Saccharomyces cerevisiae S288C: one gene and its partners. Changing the gene in region 2 together with the main gene of any one other region gives a genetic interaction. Each region holds a gene or a part of one and is shown on either strand. Other genes may lie near its edges.

Region 1 (3,602 bases), on a different chromosome or scaffold from region 2:
CCATTTAACAACAAACGCTATTACATTCAGTGGTTGAGTGACAAGTTCAAGTTACACAAGTGGAAACTAACATCGTCTTACAAGAATAAGGAAAAGAGGCGGAATCCTACTCGTCACGAATATAATTCGAGGGGTAAGAGATTAAGAAAAGATTCTAATATCCCCTACGACAGCGTTTTCCTTGATATAGAAAAGAATCACGCAAAATTTACCGACTTAACCTGATTGAATTGCCACTGTTCTACCCCTATAATATTGTGAGCATGGATAAATCTCAAAAACAATGGCGTATAGATATATAACAGGTATTAAATCTTAGTATTTAAGAATTACAAGTAACATGCATTCCTATAAAAATTAAAGAGAAAAAAATTCGATTATAAAATAGTACAATGTCCAGAAGCTTGGTTTTTAATAGTATATAATAAAGATAAAGATAGATAGAGAACATAACTCTAAACTTTAAGAGTGAATTTTTTTTTTTTAGTTTAGTTTTTTTTTTTTTTTTTTTTTACAATAATGTATTGTTCTTGGAAAATAACACAATCTGTTCAAAGTGGACAGAAACCCTAAAACAAAAATAATAACGGGGAAGGAAAAAAATAGCAAGTGAAACATAAATGAAAAAAAGGAAAATTTTATTGGTTAATAAGAAACGATCGACTATGGCAAGGCCGCAGAAGAACCGGACTTGCTCAACCATTGGTCAACGACATCATCGCTTAAAGTAGCATCAAAGCTTTCGTCGACTTCGATAATGTGAATAGTTTTATCACTTGAATTAAAGATTACGGCAGCCTTTAAAGTACCATCAGTTGGTCTCTCGAAGTAATCTTGAGTACCACCATCTTGGCCGTCATGGATGTGTGAGATTAATTTATCAGAACCAGCGGTCAAAATTTCGAACAAATCCATTTCACCACAGCCAGTTTTCCAACAAGAACAAGATGCATCACCATATTGCAAGGTTCTTGGGATTTTTGCATTTAATAACCAAATAGCTGGCATATCTTGATTGTAGGCAGAACCGCTGGTGTCACTTGGCATAGAAAATTCGAAGACGAAAATTTTATCAGCCCCACCAAACCCATGATAAGCAGGAATGCCTTCTCTGTAATAACCACAATCGCCGTTATTACCGGAACATTCTTCACCGGAGAAAATCATGAATTCATTACCAGATTTAATGGTGACATCACCAAGAGCTTGAGCGGAGGCAGCACCAGAAACACCATCTGAAGCAGCAAAAGAGATGGAGTTACCGAAACAACTCGACCAGACACCAGAACCGGCAGTCCCCCCTTGGTTGTTCATGAATGTACAGTTGCTAGTAGAGCCTGGGACAAAGTAGGAACCTCTGGACCAGTCACCGTTAGTGTTAGAAGATGATGACGAAGATGATGAAGCAGCAGCAGCAGAAGAGGTGGTTTTAGAGGAAGAGATGGAAGACTGGCTTTCACTCGTTTCAACTGCTTGAGCACTGCTGGACAAAACAGTAGAGTCTTTAGTGTAAGAAGAAGGAACAGCAGGACCGACAACGGTATTGGTGGAATCGGCTGTGACTGTTTGACCATTACTGTCGACGTAAACAGTGGAAGTAACTTGAACATATTCAACAGCAACATCCCTCTTGTGCTGATGCTTATGTCTGGAGACAACAGCTTCACCTTCCTTACAGGACTCGATTGATTGTTTCTCTGATCTTTTCTTCAAAGCATTAGATTCACCATTTGGGTAGTAAACACCAAATTGTAGTAACTCGATCGGACCCCTGAAATGAACAGATAGTTCCTCGTTGAAGGGAGCCAAGCTACCAGAAGCAGTGAAATCAGCTTGGGTACAAGCACAAGAAGATTCATCCATATTGGTGACATCTTGGTAGGTAGCAGATAAACCGACGTTAGAGTAAATGATGGCATCGGTTTGAGCACAATAGTAATTACCGCCAGAGTAAGTACAATCAGCGTTCACGAGTGACACAACTGAAGAAAACAAACCGACTAATGCGGTCATGGAAAGCTTTTGTAACATTTTTTTCGTTCAAATTCCGTTAGGTTTTAGATATTTTATGGGGTGTAAATGGAAAAACGAAAAGGTGAGAAAAAGACGTTCTATTGAAGGAGTGACTAGAAGTTGGATAAGTTAGGTTGGTTTGAGTTTTGATTCTGGAGTCTTCTTGCGAGAAAAGAAATAATTATAATATAAAAAAAAATTGAATGGAGATAAGAAGTTTAACTAGCAAAGTTCGAGAGATATAAAAAGTAGAGATGCGAAAATAAAATTAAAACAAATCTGAAAATAATGGAAGTGAAACAAGGCTAAGCAAGAAAATTTTCTATATTGCCAAGACAGGAACGTTTGTGATGAATCACATCTGCATTCGTGGTATATTTAAATGAAAATCCCAAGTTTCGAATTTTCACGTTTGCTGTACGACGAAAAAGCGTGGAAAAATAAACAAAACCAGCACTAAATCGCCAACGAAAAAGGAAAGTCGCCAACGCGAAAAGAAAAGAAAAAGCGAGGCGCAGATCTCGTGGTATGTGATATCGTGTCTAATGACTTGACGTGGCTTTTTTTCTTGTCGCCATCTGCGCTTACTTGCGTTATATCAAATATAATTTCAGCACAGCATTACATGCAGAAATAGCAGGGTGCAGAGGTCGAAGTAGATAGAGGACAACACCTGCGATGGCCGTACAGACACCAAGACAAAGACTGGCTAATGCCAAGTTTAACAAGAATAACGAAAAGTATAGAAAATACGGTAAGAAGAAGGAGGGCAAAACTGAGAAAACCGCACCTGTGATATCCAAAACTTGGTTGGGTATTCTTCTGTTTCTTCTCGTAGGTGGTGGTGTTTTGCAACTAATCAGCTATATCCTATGAAGCAGTGGCAAATTGCATATATAAGTGTACAGTGGAAGCAAGTACGTAAATAAATAAGCGATTTCGAATAATAATAACAACAAGCATAAGGCAGTATTACCCGCGTTGTCATTTATGGATGCGAAAAAAGATGAAGTAATTCAAGTGCTATTGTGATTTACCATGCCAATCAAACGTGCAACAAAGATGAGTATGAGGGGGGACCCAGGCATAGTACACAGAAAAGCTTTGTAGACTGTCTTTGTTTTCTTAATTTTTCAAGTAGGCTTTCTGCTTTTCTTCTGTACTTATCGTATGCTGGGCCGGGCACTAATCAACAAGTATGGATTTTTAATTCATCCTAGGAGATTTGTACATTTAAACGATAAGTCCCTTGATGGAACATTTATACTACCTTCGAAGAAAAATCATATGTATGATGTTCCAACTAATGATCCAAGCGGTATCCTGAATGCCTCGGATATCGATAGAATCAATAATTTGCCATTTTTCGATAACACCAGTCCGACAAAAGAGACAAATACTAAGGAAGGAGCATTGTTGAGCGAAAAATTGGCCAGCGTTAAAGAATTATTTGGAGAAGACCCTGAAAATCCTTCGTTTATCAATTACAGATTCCCCAGAGGTTTAGAGAATCCCTATTTTGACATTCAAGTAAATCAGCTAAAGAAAAAACGATTATCCGTCACACAATTATGCACTACGCAGAATTG
Region 2 (3,378 bases):
CTCTTACTACAAAGAGTATGGACTTGCCATAAGGGGACTTGTAATGTTCCACAAAGTGAACGCACTGGAATATAACCGGCTTGTGGATGATTCCTTACCACTACAAGATATCTTGAAACCTGATATACCATTAAGGAATATGCTGTTGAGATTGAGACAATCGGGAAAGATTGATAAATTGTGGCTTTTCACCAACGCTTATAAAAACCACGCAATACGTTGCCTGAGATTGTTGGGTATAGCGGATTTATTTGATGGATTGACATATTGTGACTACTCTAGGACAGATACGCTGGTCTGCAAACCACATGTTAAAGCATTTGAAAAAGCCATGAAGGAAAGCGGGTTGGCAAGATACGAGAATGCTTATTTTATAGATGACAGTGGGAAAAACATCGAGACAGGTATCAAATTGGGCATGAAAACATGTATTCATTTAGTTGAGAATGAAGTAAATGAAATTTTGGGGCAAACACCAGAAGGCGCTATTGTCATTAGTGATATATTGGAGTTACCACACGTTGTGTCCGACCTGTTCTAAGGTATATCAATTTTAAGTATAATTGTATATAAATCTACTTGCATTAGATGCCTCTATAAAATAAAATAAACCAAAAAAAAAAAATAAATTGCACCCCCCGTAAGTTCTCATTTACGTAAAGGTTGGGCTTGTTGCTTCTTTTGTTTGGCAACAGCATAAATAATACCTGATAGGAAACCAATAAAAATGGAGAGAATAGATAAGAAGTTTCTTGGAGCATCAAAGAAAATCAAACCAGACAAGGCAATTGGCAGCTTGTTCAAAGCCCCTACCATCGAATATGTAGTAGACGAAGTAACACGAACACACCAACCGGAACAGTAAGAAATACCGACGGATGCAACACCACTGATGATCATAGCAGTTAGCGAATCGTTAGAAAAGTTATTGGTCAAATTAACTGAAGACCAATCTTCCACACAGAAAGAAAACAGCAATAGAATAGGTAGAGCCAAAACATTGTTGTAAAACATAGTGTCGAAATCCTTGAAGTTAGTTAACTTAATTCTCTTTCTCATTATAAGAACGAATAATGCAGAAGTGATACAGTTGGTGAACATCCAGAAATAACCTGGGTTAAAGGAGGCAACAGCACCGGCTGCTCCTTCAGCCAATGAAGCAGCCTTGGCAGCCACAGCTTGCTGGTCACCCCAAGTTGCAACGACAGAAGAAAGGACCATCAACAAAAATGATGACAATTCCATGGAGGTGACAGAGCCACCAAAAAAGAGAACCTCACCATAAGCAATCAAGATAATAGTCAAATTCTTGAAAATGGTGTAAATTGGAACAGCCAAGTATTGTAAAGCCTTCGAAGAGGTGTAGATCATCAAGACCAGTAAAAAGGAAATAGGGAACCAGTTCTTGGCGTCTGTTTTGTTTAATGAACGGAACTTCGCATAGCCCAGTATACGTAGGATAATCAAGGTTATAGTACAAACCAAAGATTGCACGAAAAGCATGACAAAGTTCATGTTGAAATCCTTCAAATTGACGACGAACTTGTTAGTCACCGTCATTAAAATAGAGGAACCACAGTAGGATAAAATAGAGATCGGACCGGAATTGGCAACTGAAGCCCAAGGGTTATGGCCTGCATGACCTGTTTTCAATTCAGACATTCGGGCGAAAGATACTGTGTGGTTAGTGTGTTTGTTTTCTTAGGCTCTTTTGGTAATTAAGAGGATGTCAACAATTAATCGGCAACAAGAAATAGGCTTGGCAGCGTTATATATATTCTGTTTTTCTGTTCATTGTTTGTTCGGATCGCGAAATTTCAATTTTTTTCTTTCTTTTTTTTTTTTTCGGCCAAAACTATTATCCAAGGCTGGGTAAGAGGATTCTGAAAAACCCGTTTAGCTTTTCGTATATTGCGATTCATTACGCGTTTAGGCGACGTGTCTTCTTTCGTCAACTGTGATATTTTTCGTGTTATGGGCGGCTAATTCTTTATAAAAAGGGAAATTTAATCATTATGGCAAACTCAAATGGTGTTCCTACATCTATATACCACCATGCCACTTTGTACCACCAGTCATATATTTTCTTCTACTCATAAGGGAGCCGCATATATATATGGCGCACATTGCCATGGTCCATTACAAGCTTTTTTCTCGTAGCACTTTAGAATGTCTATTGAGTTGCAATATTCAGGCAAAAATGCGTTCTATCTTCAGAATGTAGCTGTTGAAATTGTTGTTTGACTTTTTTTGGACTAGTAGCCGTCTTATCGAACCAAATAGAAGCATATGTTACCTCATTATTCTCTCAATATGGTATTGGAGCGGGTGTGGGTGTGTTCCTTTTGTTCTTAAACGATAGGTACGCATTAAACACCGCTTATGCAGATGGTACATCATATACTGCTTATACCCTTTCCTACTTCAGATGAATATGCAAAACATGTACCGCAATGATGCGAGAGTAACTTTAACAAGAGCTCTTTCGCGTGTGTAGCGATAATATTCAGGGGCGACAAGTGTAGTAATGAAGATATAGTTCTCACCGGTACCTAGATGTCACTACTCGGACACCAGATTACTGTAGCAAGCAAGGTCAATGTCGAGACTAAGCATGATCATAAGTATTGGCGCCCGACATTGCATTTTTTTCCTTGAGATCATATCACAGTGCATGCCATCACAAATAGTTACTTTGATTATTTCAGTGCCATCGCATGACTTCAGTTTTATTACACCTTTAATGATGTAAAAGCGCCGTCAAGATACTAATATAGACGCACGAGTTTCGTTCGCGCGTCTTGGTGAGATTGAAAAGTTATTTTGCCTTTCTTGTCGAGATGATGGTATTTCCCTTTTTTATTTAACATTCATTAATTCCTACCTGTAGTTATCAACCTTTACAGCAACGCAAGTGAAGTGGCTTACTATATAAGCGTAACTCCAATGTGCTTGGTTAGTTTTGGAAAATTTCAAGGCGTTGTTGCAGAATTGTACCTTTAAACATGTCTACAACAACTATGTGGATGTAGCATCTCTATCATGACGCAAACGCAAACATCTCTCTCTCTCTCTCTCTCTAAGTCGCATGTTAAGGCCGATAGTACTGGTTTAACAGGGTTTGCCAAGGCCTCAATCGTTAAGTTAGCTTCTCCACTTTCCCCAGCATCAATCTTATGGTATGATCAACAATCTACGAGGAATTGCAGAAATGATACCTGTATCACAAAGGAATTTGCGTATCATAGCGTCAACTGGAACCATGGATGGAGCTGAGAATTTATTCCTCATAAACGAATTCAAGTTTCTTTCGCTCTGCCAACACAAAAATTTCAATTTCTGTCCTACTTATGTCCTATGAGAGCCATAATTTACACC
Region 3 (5,923 bases), on a different chromosome or scaffold from region 2:
ATTACTTGCCATATTTCTCACTTACTAAGGCATTCAACATAGAAAATGAAGATGGATACAAAAAAGATCCACACACATACAAGCCTCCAACAAAAAAAACATGTCCCGCCATCAGTTTGATCTAATAATGTGCCTAAAGCAGCCTGGTGTACAGACAGGTCTTCTTTGTGAAAAATGTGATGGCAAATGTCCTATCTGCGACTCTTATGTAAGGCCCAAAAGGAAAGTTAGAGTATGTGAAAACTGTTCGTTTGGTAAACAAGCTAAAAATTGTATAATTTGTAATCTAAATGTTGGAGTCAATGACGCATTCTATTGTTGGGAGTGCTGCCGCTTAGGTAAAGATAAAGATGGCTGTCCTAGGATCTTAAACCTTGGCAGCAATAGACTGGATAGACATTTCGAGAAAAAGAAAAAGGTATAACACATACATATAGAATATGTAAAAATATATAAATAAATAACATGCATTTATAACCCATGGTACTATTTTCTTCCCCTTATTCGTTACTATATTCGTCGTAACTACTGTCGCTCACGCACACTTGCAAACTGTTCTCGTTGAATAAGAAGCTTTCCTCTATATCATCTATACCATCACTATCGTCGTTATTGCCTTGCCCCTCCTCTTCTCCTTTACCATGCTCTAAGATATTCTTTTCAGCCTGCTTGCGAGTCACTTCTTTTATGATACTTACAAACAGCTCGCTTCTCTTAATTTCGTAGATTAACCAGTCCATTCTGACAGCCAGCTGTCTTATGCGGTTTATCATATCTGTCTTAGTCTTTGTGCTAATAGGAACACATTTTCCCATAAGCATCAGAGTGCTTTCAAATTTTTTCAATTTCTCCCATTTGGCTGATTTTATAGACCTAAGTCTTTCCATCCTCTGCAAAATGGTAAGCTTTCTCTTATTACAAATAGTGTTTGCTATACTACCAATTTCCACATAGCATCCGTCATATGCTGAAAATAGATTGATAGAATCGATCCAGTTGTCCCTTTCATACTTATTAGCACATTTCCAGATAAAATTTCGATGACATGTATGTAAGTATAATAGACAATCGGCATTTTCGTCTTCGAAAATCGGATACTCGTCCTTAATGGAATGATAATCTTCATTACTGTCATTTGAACTGAGTTGATTATCTGAACTAGAAACACTATCGTTGTCACTCTCGCCGTTACTCACACTGCTCGTACCATCAGTAGAATTCGTTATGCTATCCTCTTCATCTGAAGATGGCTCGAAGACTCCTTCATTGTGTTTGGCGGAGCTACTTGCTGCAGTTGTGTTGCTTGTATGACTCCCAGTAGAATGATGCTCTGTATACGCAAGTACCAAACTTGCGAAATGAGATTTCCCAAGTGAATCTCGCTCCCTATCAGCAAATAAACCGTTATACACGTCAATCGTACTTCCCGGAACAAAAGAAAATCCTGATTTAAAATCAATTATATAGTTTGTAGTTCCTGATTTTGGGTCCTTCATCATCTGTGGATTTATCCAGTCCATTTTATCGCAGATCAAAAGCCCCAATGATGTTAATATGGCAAATTCCTTTTTCCAATGAATTTTAGCGGAGTTAACAATAGAAAATTTTCTACTGGGCATCCCCAAATTCATTATTGCTCCCATTTGAAGGATTTTGCAATACTTATAATCGGAGTTCTTGCATCCAGACCGGCTATTATCATTCAATATTTCAAAATTAGGTAAATTCAGTTTATTCAATTGACTTTTGTGAAAGCGTAAATACCCACCTTTAGTATCATTCATAATACTATAATATTTTTCGTATTTATGTTCTTCATTTCTCAACAAATTTGCCTTCAGAGCATTCTTATTCCAATATTTTGAGACTTCTGGAAATAGATTTACTTCATTTAATGTATCATTTATAATGTGCGAATAAACGTTAATGTCATCTTGAACTAACGTAGCATTTCCGCTAGAACTAGAGCTTGGATTATATGAAAAATAAGACGATATTGAGTTAGAAGCCGGTCTATTGCTATTACTGTTAGCCGTTCCGAGGTTGGCCCCGTTTATAGTACCCGACGTACTTGGTGGGCAAGAAGCCGCCGTAGATGGGGCAATACCAGATGCACTAATTGAATTCGTTAGCGGATAAAAGATTGGGGAAAGGGAAGCTTCCTTGGGTATTATACTCCCCCTTTTTATCATGTCTATGGGAGAATACATCGAATTCGAAGATAATGTGATAGCAAAATTTGTGTCAAATGCATCTTTATCAAGGATGCTATCGTCCAACGCCATTGGTGACATCAAAAAGTAATTAAATTTCGGCGACTCTTTGGCTGTCACATTCTCATAAAAATATGTCAAAACGGCCATAGGGATCTCATTACCTCCTGAGTATTTGTCATTATGGACTAAATCCACGAAATCATGCTTTGTCATTTTGCTTTTATTGTTGGGGTTAAAGTAATCAGTGTGCAACATTAGTAAGGAAAATGCAATAAAATACACCTGGTCTGCATTAGACCAGGGGCACTCAATTCCTTTTTTCTTAGAATAGCTCTTTTGGGCCTTATAGTATGCAAAGCTAAAAGCCATTATCAATCTATCAATTTGCTGCGTCTCCTTTGGAAGCTCTAAAAACATCAACAATTTCCTCAGGGCAATATCTAAAGGGTCATTTTTAAATTCGAAGCAATTCGTTAATAGGTAGTTTAAACAATTTTTTTTGAACTCATCATCTTTTTCCGTTAAAATGATCCCAATGAACTTTCCGTAGGGCGCTAATTTAATCAAGAAGTCCTTACAAGAATCACTAAATTCAGGCGCGGGAACCGGTGGTAGATCTTCCAGCGAGACATCCAGTTTTTGTTGTAGCTGCTGTTGTTGTTGAAGGTGCTGTTGCCTAGAGGATGATAAACTGGAGGAGCGAAGGTTAACAAAACTACTTAAAGCATTCACAATTGAGCTACTTCTTCTTGACATTCCAGTAATAGTTGAATTGGCATTGCTTTTATTGTTGTAAACTGAAGTAGGGCCTGATCCATGAGGTAGGCCCAATTTGTTATGGTAGCCTTCATCTTCAATTGATTTTCTCTTGCCGCCCTTGCCTTGAACAAAAGACGTACTTTGAGATCGAGACCTTGATAAAACCTGATGGTCTGGGTGACTTGCTTCCGCTCCATCTGTATCATTGCTTATAATATTGGCATCATCGGGCAAAAGAGGTCCGCGGGATCCCATGGGGTCTTGCATAAGAGAATTTGTATTTTTCTCGTCAATAGTCCTAATAAAAGAAGATGGAGAGAGTGGCGGTTTGTTCTTTGCTGTATTGTTTTTGTTAATATAGTCAAATACGTCAACAGTTCTACTGCGCCTTCTTCCGAACCTCCTTTTGGAGATCTCATCTTGTTGTTTTGCCAATTCAATTTGAGGAGTTGCATCAAGTGGTATTGCGTGCAGCGAATTGAATTTTATTGACGACGACGATGATGATGATGATGCAACAACAGCTCTTTTGGACGGATTGAAATATCTTGAAGCCGCTGTAGAGGAACCGACGGAAGAAGATGTCGATATCCTACTCACAGTAGGAAGAGTAGGAACTAATCTATCACCGTTAAACAGGGTAGGCTCTTGTGATTTTCTGTAATCTCTTGACAATCTATTAGAAGAAGGAAATTTTTCTAGAGCAGGTTTCACAGGAATGAATGGGGCGTGTTTTGAATTTCTCTTTACGTTATCAGACCCGGAGCTAGTAAGCGTGACTCTCTCACCATCGGGCTTGGGAACTTTCTCTATCGAATCTATGTTGTTTTCTGATTTGAAAGGCATTTCTTCAGGATCTTGTCCATTACGGAGGTGTTGTGCAACCAAGATTTCATCATCTTCAGAACCCTTTTCATTGGCTGACCTGAAATTCAAGTCTAACCTACCCATCTTACGCCGTATCCTGCTTAGTTTGCTGTGTTTTTTTGTGGGCTCGCATTCTTTTACATCAAGTTTATCGTCGTCATTATTAGTGTGTTCCTGTATTTCTGCGAGTTGAAGAAAAGGACTTCTATAACTTTCCGACTCTCTTAATTTATCTATGCCTGTTGAAACATTGCTTCCGCCCTTTTTGTTGCCATTTTTATCGTTACTGTGTGATTGAAGGAATTTAAGCTTAATCAACGAAGAAATAGACTGATTCATTATCTGGCAAGTGTGGATTGAAGAGCTGGTCTGGCGGGAAGTTAGCGAAAATGAAGTTACAATGAGTTGAAACAGAGTAAATAATAGGGAGTGGATGCGAGTAACCTTGCGATGTCAAAAGAATTCAAAGTACTATATCTACTGCCTTTCTTTCCACTTGGTGCCTTTTACCCTGAAAGTCTAATGAGCAGGTAGTATAAGAGAAGCAGCTTCTGAAGAAGAGTTCTTTGTACAATAAACCGGCCTTGTGGTGCGAGAGAGGCTTGTAATATAGATTATACTGAAGCCTGTTGAACTTAGCGTCTATTTTCTTTTCGTTCCCTATATCACTTTTCCTAATATTTTCAACATCTCCTTTACGCCAAAAACAAGAAAAAGGACGAGATGGCCTTGGGTTTTTAATGCTTACGCCTGTTTCGCCTCTCATAAGACAGATAAATGTACGTTAACCATTTGACAGTTAACTTTTTAGGCGTGAACAAGGAACGTATTAAAGTGTTTTTCGAATAATTGATCACTTTCTAGCTTTCATTCTTTTTTAAGAGCTACATCCAATTACTGTGCATTGGGCTCTATAAAAAAAGAAAAACGAACCTTACCTTGTGGTCGGAATTGTGTACTGAAATCAGTGGTTGAAGATAATTGTACTAAAGAATCAAAAATAGACAGTCTTCAAATGATTACTCAAGACACTCCTGCTTTAAATCCAACGGAAGAACACTACCTGAAGAGGGAACTGCTTCGATGTCAATTGGATTATGAAATTGGAAAGCTTAACGATCAGTTTGCTTTGAGAAAGTTCGGTTATCCTTTCTCACCAAACGATCCGACAGCTCCACAGCCTATCTCCAATAACGATTCATCACCAGTGCTCGGTGGCAAAGGCCATTTTAGCGTTAATTATCCCATGCTGAGTTATGTTTTGCAAGAATTTATATCCACATTTCCTTTACTTTCAACAAATTTGCTAGTTGATGAAAAATTCTGGCAGAGTAAGGTTCAAGTGTTCTTTGAACATTTCATGAGTCTTGGGTTTAGTGAAAGTTATGACAGGGAGGAAGCTTCAAAAAGGAAGAAAGTTTCCAAAAAGCTATCAAAGGTTATCTTGTTGCTCTTTAACTCCGGTGTTGGCTCTTTTCAAGAGCAAGCGTATTATAATGAGGATAAATTCGTTTTACAGTCAGGCCAAGCGAGAAAACGCTCTAATATTGAGAAATTTGCAATGCCAACTAGAGAAAATTTAGAGAATTTGCTCACTAACGAATCCGTTTTTATTAACGGTTGGGACGTCAATATTATATCCGTGTTCAATAAGAATTCACGGAAATGTACTGAAAGTGTGGATAATGACAAGTCTAGTAAATCTACTCCAACTTCGAGTCCCAAAAGCCATGCTATAAAATCATTTGCTTCCACTTCTAAATGGATGAAGAATGCCTTCAACAACACTATTAACAGTACCATAAATAGTATGCCCGAATCCTCAGCATCTTTATTTTCGAAATTATCCCTTGGCGTGCCTTCAACTAAGAGCAAGCAATCTAGAAAACATCATTATTTCTTGATTAAGATTAAGAAGCAAGATGACGACGACCAAGATAACAGCAATGAAGAGAATAGTAATCTTGATCACCATGCTGGTTATTTCTATGTGACAAGAACATACAGCGACTTCAAAAAACTATCTCATGATTTAAAATCAGAATTTCCGGGGAAGAAATGTCCGCGCTTACCTCATAGAA
Region 4 (3,863 bases), on a different chromosome or scaffold from region 2:
TCGTCGGAATGCTCCAGGTTGACCACCTTAATTGCCACAATTTCTTGCGTAACTCTATCCACTGCTTTATACACATCACCAAAGTTACCTCTGCCAATACATGATTGGATGGAATATAGCTTCGATGGAGGGGTTCTTGACCTAATTGATATTTCTTTGCTTTCCATTTTGTGCTATTTTCTTTTGTTGTTTAGTAAATGAATTAGCTAGTAAAAAAACTAAATTTAAAAAGCAAATGCTGGTTTGCTTTCTTTTGAGAAATGTTTGCTAAGACAACTGACTAGCCAGGTGTTCACTAAATCGATAATATTGAAAATGGCAAAATAAGAAAAAAAAAGAAGAGAATTAGCTGGCTTTTTTTGGATAGGAAATATTAAATGAAGCAGTTGGAACCAAGATAATAAACAAAAACAGTATATTAAGTGACTCTTTAGTATATATCTGAACTAACAAGTAAAATATCGATGTTAGAAATGGTTACAATAGAAGAAAGTAGTGTCATTCTTTCGCGTCAAAAAAAAAAAATGGAATTTGTGTCTTTTTCGTTTTTATGTGTCATTTTTTTTTATCCCTGATGCCGCATTGTTCCGAACCTGGGACAGCTCCGAAATATAACTTGAGGAAAAAGTATTAGAAAAGGGAAAAAAATACAGTTAAATTATCATATATGTTATTTTTTGTCCTTTTTGGCCAATTTTAAAGACTTATGCATTGTTAATAAGTTTGTTGGGGACATCAAATTTTGAGAAGACTTAGGAATGGAGCTCAAACTCCACCTTTTACTTGCTGAGGCACTTCTTTCAGGTATGTTAACTCTCAAATCGTGTTTCTTATTGTAGGACGAAGCTGAATCTACATTTGAATGCATATTTAAATGCGGCCCTGATCTTGGACGAGAAGTATTTACAGCTTGGAATGTTCCGTACATCTCCAACTTAGTTTCCCAATATTCTAAAACCTTTGGAGACCAATTCGTAGTAATCTTCGGTAAATTATCTATATGAATACCATTGCACAATAAAAATTCTGTAATAAAAAAAATGGGCGTTCCATCAACAATTTCATAGTGCTTTAGGGAATATTGAAAAATGGAAGAATGGTTTAGATCATTCTGCTCTTTTTCGCTTGCCGTCAATTCTCTTAGGGAATATTTACTTTGGGCGATGGCTCTTTGCATCATGAAAACACTATCTAAATGGATAGCTTTAATTAAAGACTTCAAAGAAGCCTCTCTGCCTTGGTTGCTGTCGATAACAAACTTTTTAAATTGATACTTATCAATAATGAATTTGGATCTTTCCGAGTCATCAGAATTTGCAGTTATTTTTTTAACTGGAAAGTTCCTGAGATTGCTTTCATAAATGGCATTAACATTACTATTGGAAACATTATTTTGTAAAAGATGCATCAACTCTAACGAGGTGAAATTATCCAGCGTTAAAGATCTAATTTTGGAGATATGTGAACCCAGAGATCGATGAACGCCCGAACATTTGATACACAATATACACAATAAATTGATTGACACCCATTCTACTGTTGCGGTGCTACCGCAGTCACAACACTTCAAATTAGATTTATCAATTTTGCGCACGATTGATAGCAGTTCGTCTCTATTGGAGGCTCCCGCATTAGCAAAAGAGAAATGCTGTGTATGCTGTTTGGAGGAATCTGTTTTTGTAGGAATACGGTTATTACTATTACTGTTGCTACTGCTACTATGAATGGGATGAGTTTGATGATTGATGTGATGAGAATGCGTAGATTTGTGTTGGCTCCCACTAAGACGGGTTGATAAATATGTAAATGACAGTTGGGGTGAACGAAATGGAAATCCTGATGGTAAAGAAGGAGGTATTTGTAGTAATATCAATGATTCTTTCGCGGCCATTAATAAAGCGATGCTTTTTAAAATAACACAATATACCTCAAAACCTCGATCATCCTCGCAGCGGTTCGTTTGAAATTTACATCGAAGAGATTTAAGAAGAATATTAGTTAACTTTAACGCGTTGTTGCACCATGATGGATACTGTGCTTTTGATGCTGTTCTTGCTACTGTTCCTTTACTGAACAAAGGCACAACATTTTTGTTGATATCAGTAGTATAAAAATCCATTATTGATGGAACATCCAGAAAAATGTATTCAAAATGACTGGTACAGCTACCTTAACCACTCTGCCTCAATGTGATTTTTATCCTCTTTTTCGCTCAAATTTTTACTTTTCTTCTCTCTTCGTCAAGTACTATTATAACGACAGCGATAGGAAAAAAAACCAACATCGGACGAGAATAAATAATACTTTAGCGTTCAAAATGACATTCCTTTAAAATTCGATATGAAATTTTCCGCGATTAATTCGCCGAGAATACGACAAAAAAAAAGATAAACATCAGAAAATTCTATTATTAGATTAGATTTTATATTAGATAATGAATTAATACAGGTAATAATTATAGAGAGGAAATAAAAATAAACAGATAAGTTATTTACATCTTCTAACTAATATTCCATTACAAGTGAACGAACATGAAAAGATCATATAAAACCCTTCCAACATATTTTTTTTCCTTCTTTGGTCCCTTCAAGGAAAGAGCGGTCTTTCTTCTTGTTCTATAATAATATTATTAAAAAAGCACATAAAAACTTGATTGTGTAGCGATAATAAAAAAATTTTTTCGATATTATAGGAGTATAATGTCTCTAAACTCAAAATTAAAGAACTTAGAATAAGAAAGCGACACCGGCAGCGACGGCAGCACCGAAGACACCAGCACCCAAAGCGTTGGAAGCAGCAGCACCAGTGGAGATCTTGGTGCTGGTGGTGTTGGAACCGTTGGTACGGTTGGAACCATTGGTAGAAACGTTAGCAGCTTGGACAGCGGCAACAGTAGCGAAGGCAGCGACGATGGTCTTGAATTGCATTGTTTTGTTGATGATTAGTGTTGATTGAAACTTATGTTTAATGATGATTTTCCTCTAAAATCAAAAACAATATTAACTAATAAAGTAAATAATACAGTAGGAGAAGATGGAAAAGAAAATCAAGAATTTCTCGAGTTCCTTATATATGAGGAGAAAAGCCAGGAAAACCACCGCGATGACACACAGCACCATATCTCATGTAACAAACGTGAAAAAAGCGATGATTTTTTTTCTGCTTTCTTTTTCTCATTTCTCAAGCGGATATTCCGCTTGCAAAAAGAAAAGGCGTGGCTCTGGTCTTCGCTATTTTGGAAATAAACTTTGGCGTCCTACGCCCAGAAGCGGCCAAAGCGGCCAATCACGCCCGAAGACGGGACCGCACGGCTCCCAACGAGTCGTTTTTTTGGAACTGAAAAAGGCCCAACGTTGGGCCTAGGCCCTTACCGCGCCCATTTCGGAAACTGCATTACTTTTTCGGGACGTATTCTCGGGAAATAAGCAGGTCCAGATCCGCGTAGCATGAATGGGGCGCCAAAACAGTCGCGGGTAACGAAAGAGCGCAACCACGCGTATATTCCGGGCCGGTGAGGGGCAACGCGCATTGTCCCGGGGCGATATAATCCATGTACCGGAACCCGCACTTTTTCGACTTTCTTTCCCCTTTTCCTGTCTCCTATTGTGCGAGAAAGGTTTGATTGACAAGAGATCTTTACTGATCGATCTTAGTTAGTCCTCGAATAAGCATTTTGCAAGTACCAGTCATCGTATTAGAGAACATACAACTTTAGAATTACACTATGCACGCCCGCGACTGGTTTTTAGTTTTTATTGCAATTTTCATTCCTCCCTTAGCAGTCTGGCTAAAAAGAGGTTTTTTTACCAAGGATCTGCTCATTAACTTTCTGTTATTTTTACTAGGGTTTTTCCCTGGTCTGA

What was found.
Region 1: mutations in VRG4 (region 2) and TOS1 together harm fitness more than expected from each alone (negative genetic interaction), as found in Saccharomyces cerevisiae (one large-scale study listed by BioGRID).
Region 3: mutations in VRG4 (region 2) and SYT1 together harm fitness less than expected from each alone (positive genetic interaction), as found in Saccharomyces cerevisiae (one large-scale study listed by BioGRID).
Region 4: mutations in VRG4 (region 2) and AGE1 together harm fitness more than expected from each alone (negative genetic interaction), as found in Saccharomyces cerevisiae (one large-scale study listed by BioGRID).

What each region holds. Positions count from the first base shown.
Region 1 is NC_001134.8:562,540-566,141, forward strand, and holds TOS1 (Tos1p), read right to left. Parts: upstream 2,032-3,602; coding exon 664-2,031; downstream 1-663. Other genes in the region: mannosylinositol phosphorylceramide synthase catalytic subunit CSH1, read left to right, coding at 1-225; YSY6 (Ysy6p), read left to right, coding at 2,692-2,889; EXO5 (Exo5p), read left to right, coding at 3,184-3,602. UniProt on the Saccharomyces cerevisiae protein: Probable circularly permuted 1,3-beta-glucanase involved in cell wall modification through beta-1,3-glucan network alterations such as increased branching or remodeling.
Region 2 is NC_001139.9:75,178-78,555, reverse strand, and holds VRG4 (GDP-mannose transporter), read right to left. Parts: upstream 1,663-3,378; coding exon 649-1,662; downstream 1-648. Other genes in the region: SDT1 (nucleotidase), read left to right, coding at 1-541. UniProt on the Saccharomyces cerevisiae protein: Involved in the import of GDP-mannose from the cytoplasm into the Golgi lumen. Defective copy causes severe glycosylation defect and abnormal retention of soluble endoplasmic reticulum proteins. Involved in vanadate sensitivity.
Region 3 is NC_001148.4:720,537-726,459, forward strand, and holds SYT1 (Arf family guanine nucleotide exchange factor SYT1), read right to left. Parts: upstream 4,182-5,923; coding exon 501-4,181; downstream 1-500. Other genes in the region: U2 snRNP complex subunit RDS3, read left to right, coding at 101-424; YPR096C (uncharacterized protein), read right to left, coding at 4,306-4,608; LEC1 (Lec1p), read left to right, coding at 4,858-5,923. UniProt on the Saccharomyces cerevisiae protein: Guanine nucleotide exchange factor for Arf GTPases, stimulating the nucleotide exchange from the GDP-bound to the GTP-bound form. Catalyzes both the GDP release by and the GTP binding to ARF2. Has no exchange activity on Rab GTPases.
Region 4 is NC_001136.10:1,486,872-1,490,734, forward strand, and holds AGE1 (GTPase-activating protein AGE1), read right to left. Parts: upstream 2,120-3,863; coding exon 671-2,119; downstream 1-670. Other genes in the region: putative serine/threonine protein kinase SPS1, read right to left, coding at 1-167; YDR524W-C (uncharacterized protein), read left to right, coding at 2,532-2,621; YDR524C-B (uncharacterized protein), read right to left, coding at 2,727-2,927; API2 (Api2p), read left to right, coding at 3,034-3,363; SNA2 (Sna2p), read left to right, coding at 3,725-3,863. UniProt on the Saccharomyces cerevisiae protein: GTPase-activating protein (GAP) for the ADP ribosylation factors ARF1 and ARF2. May be involved in the endocytic pathway.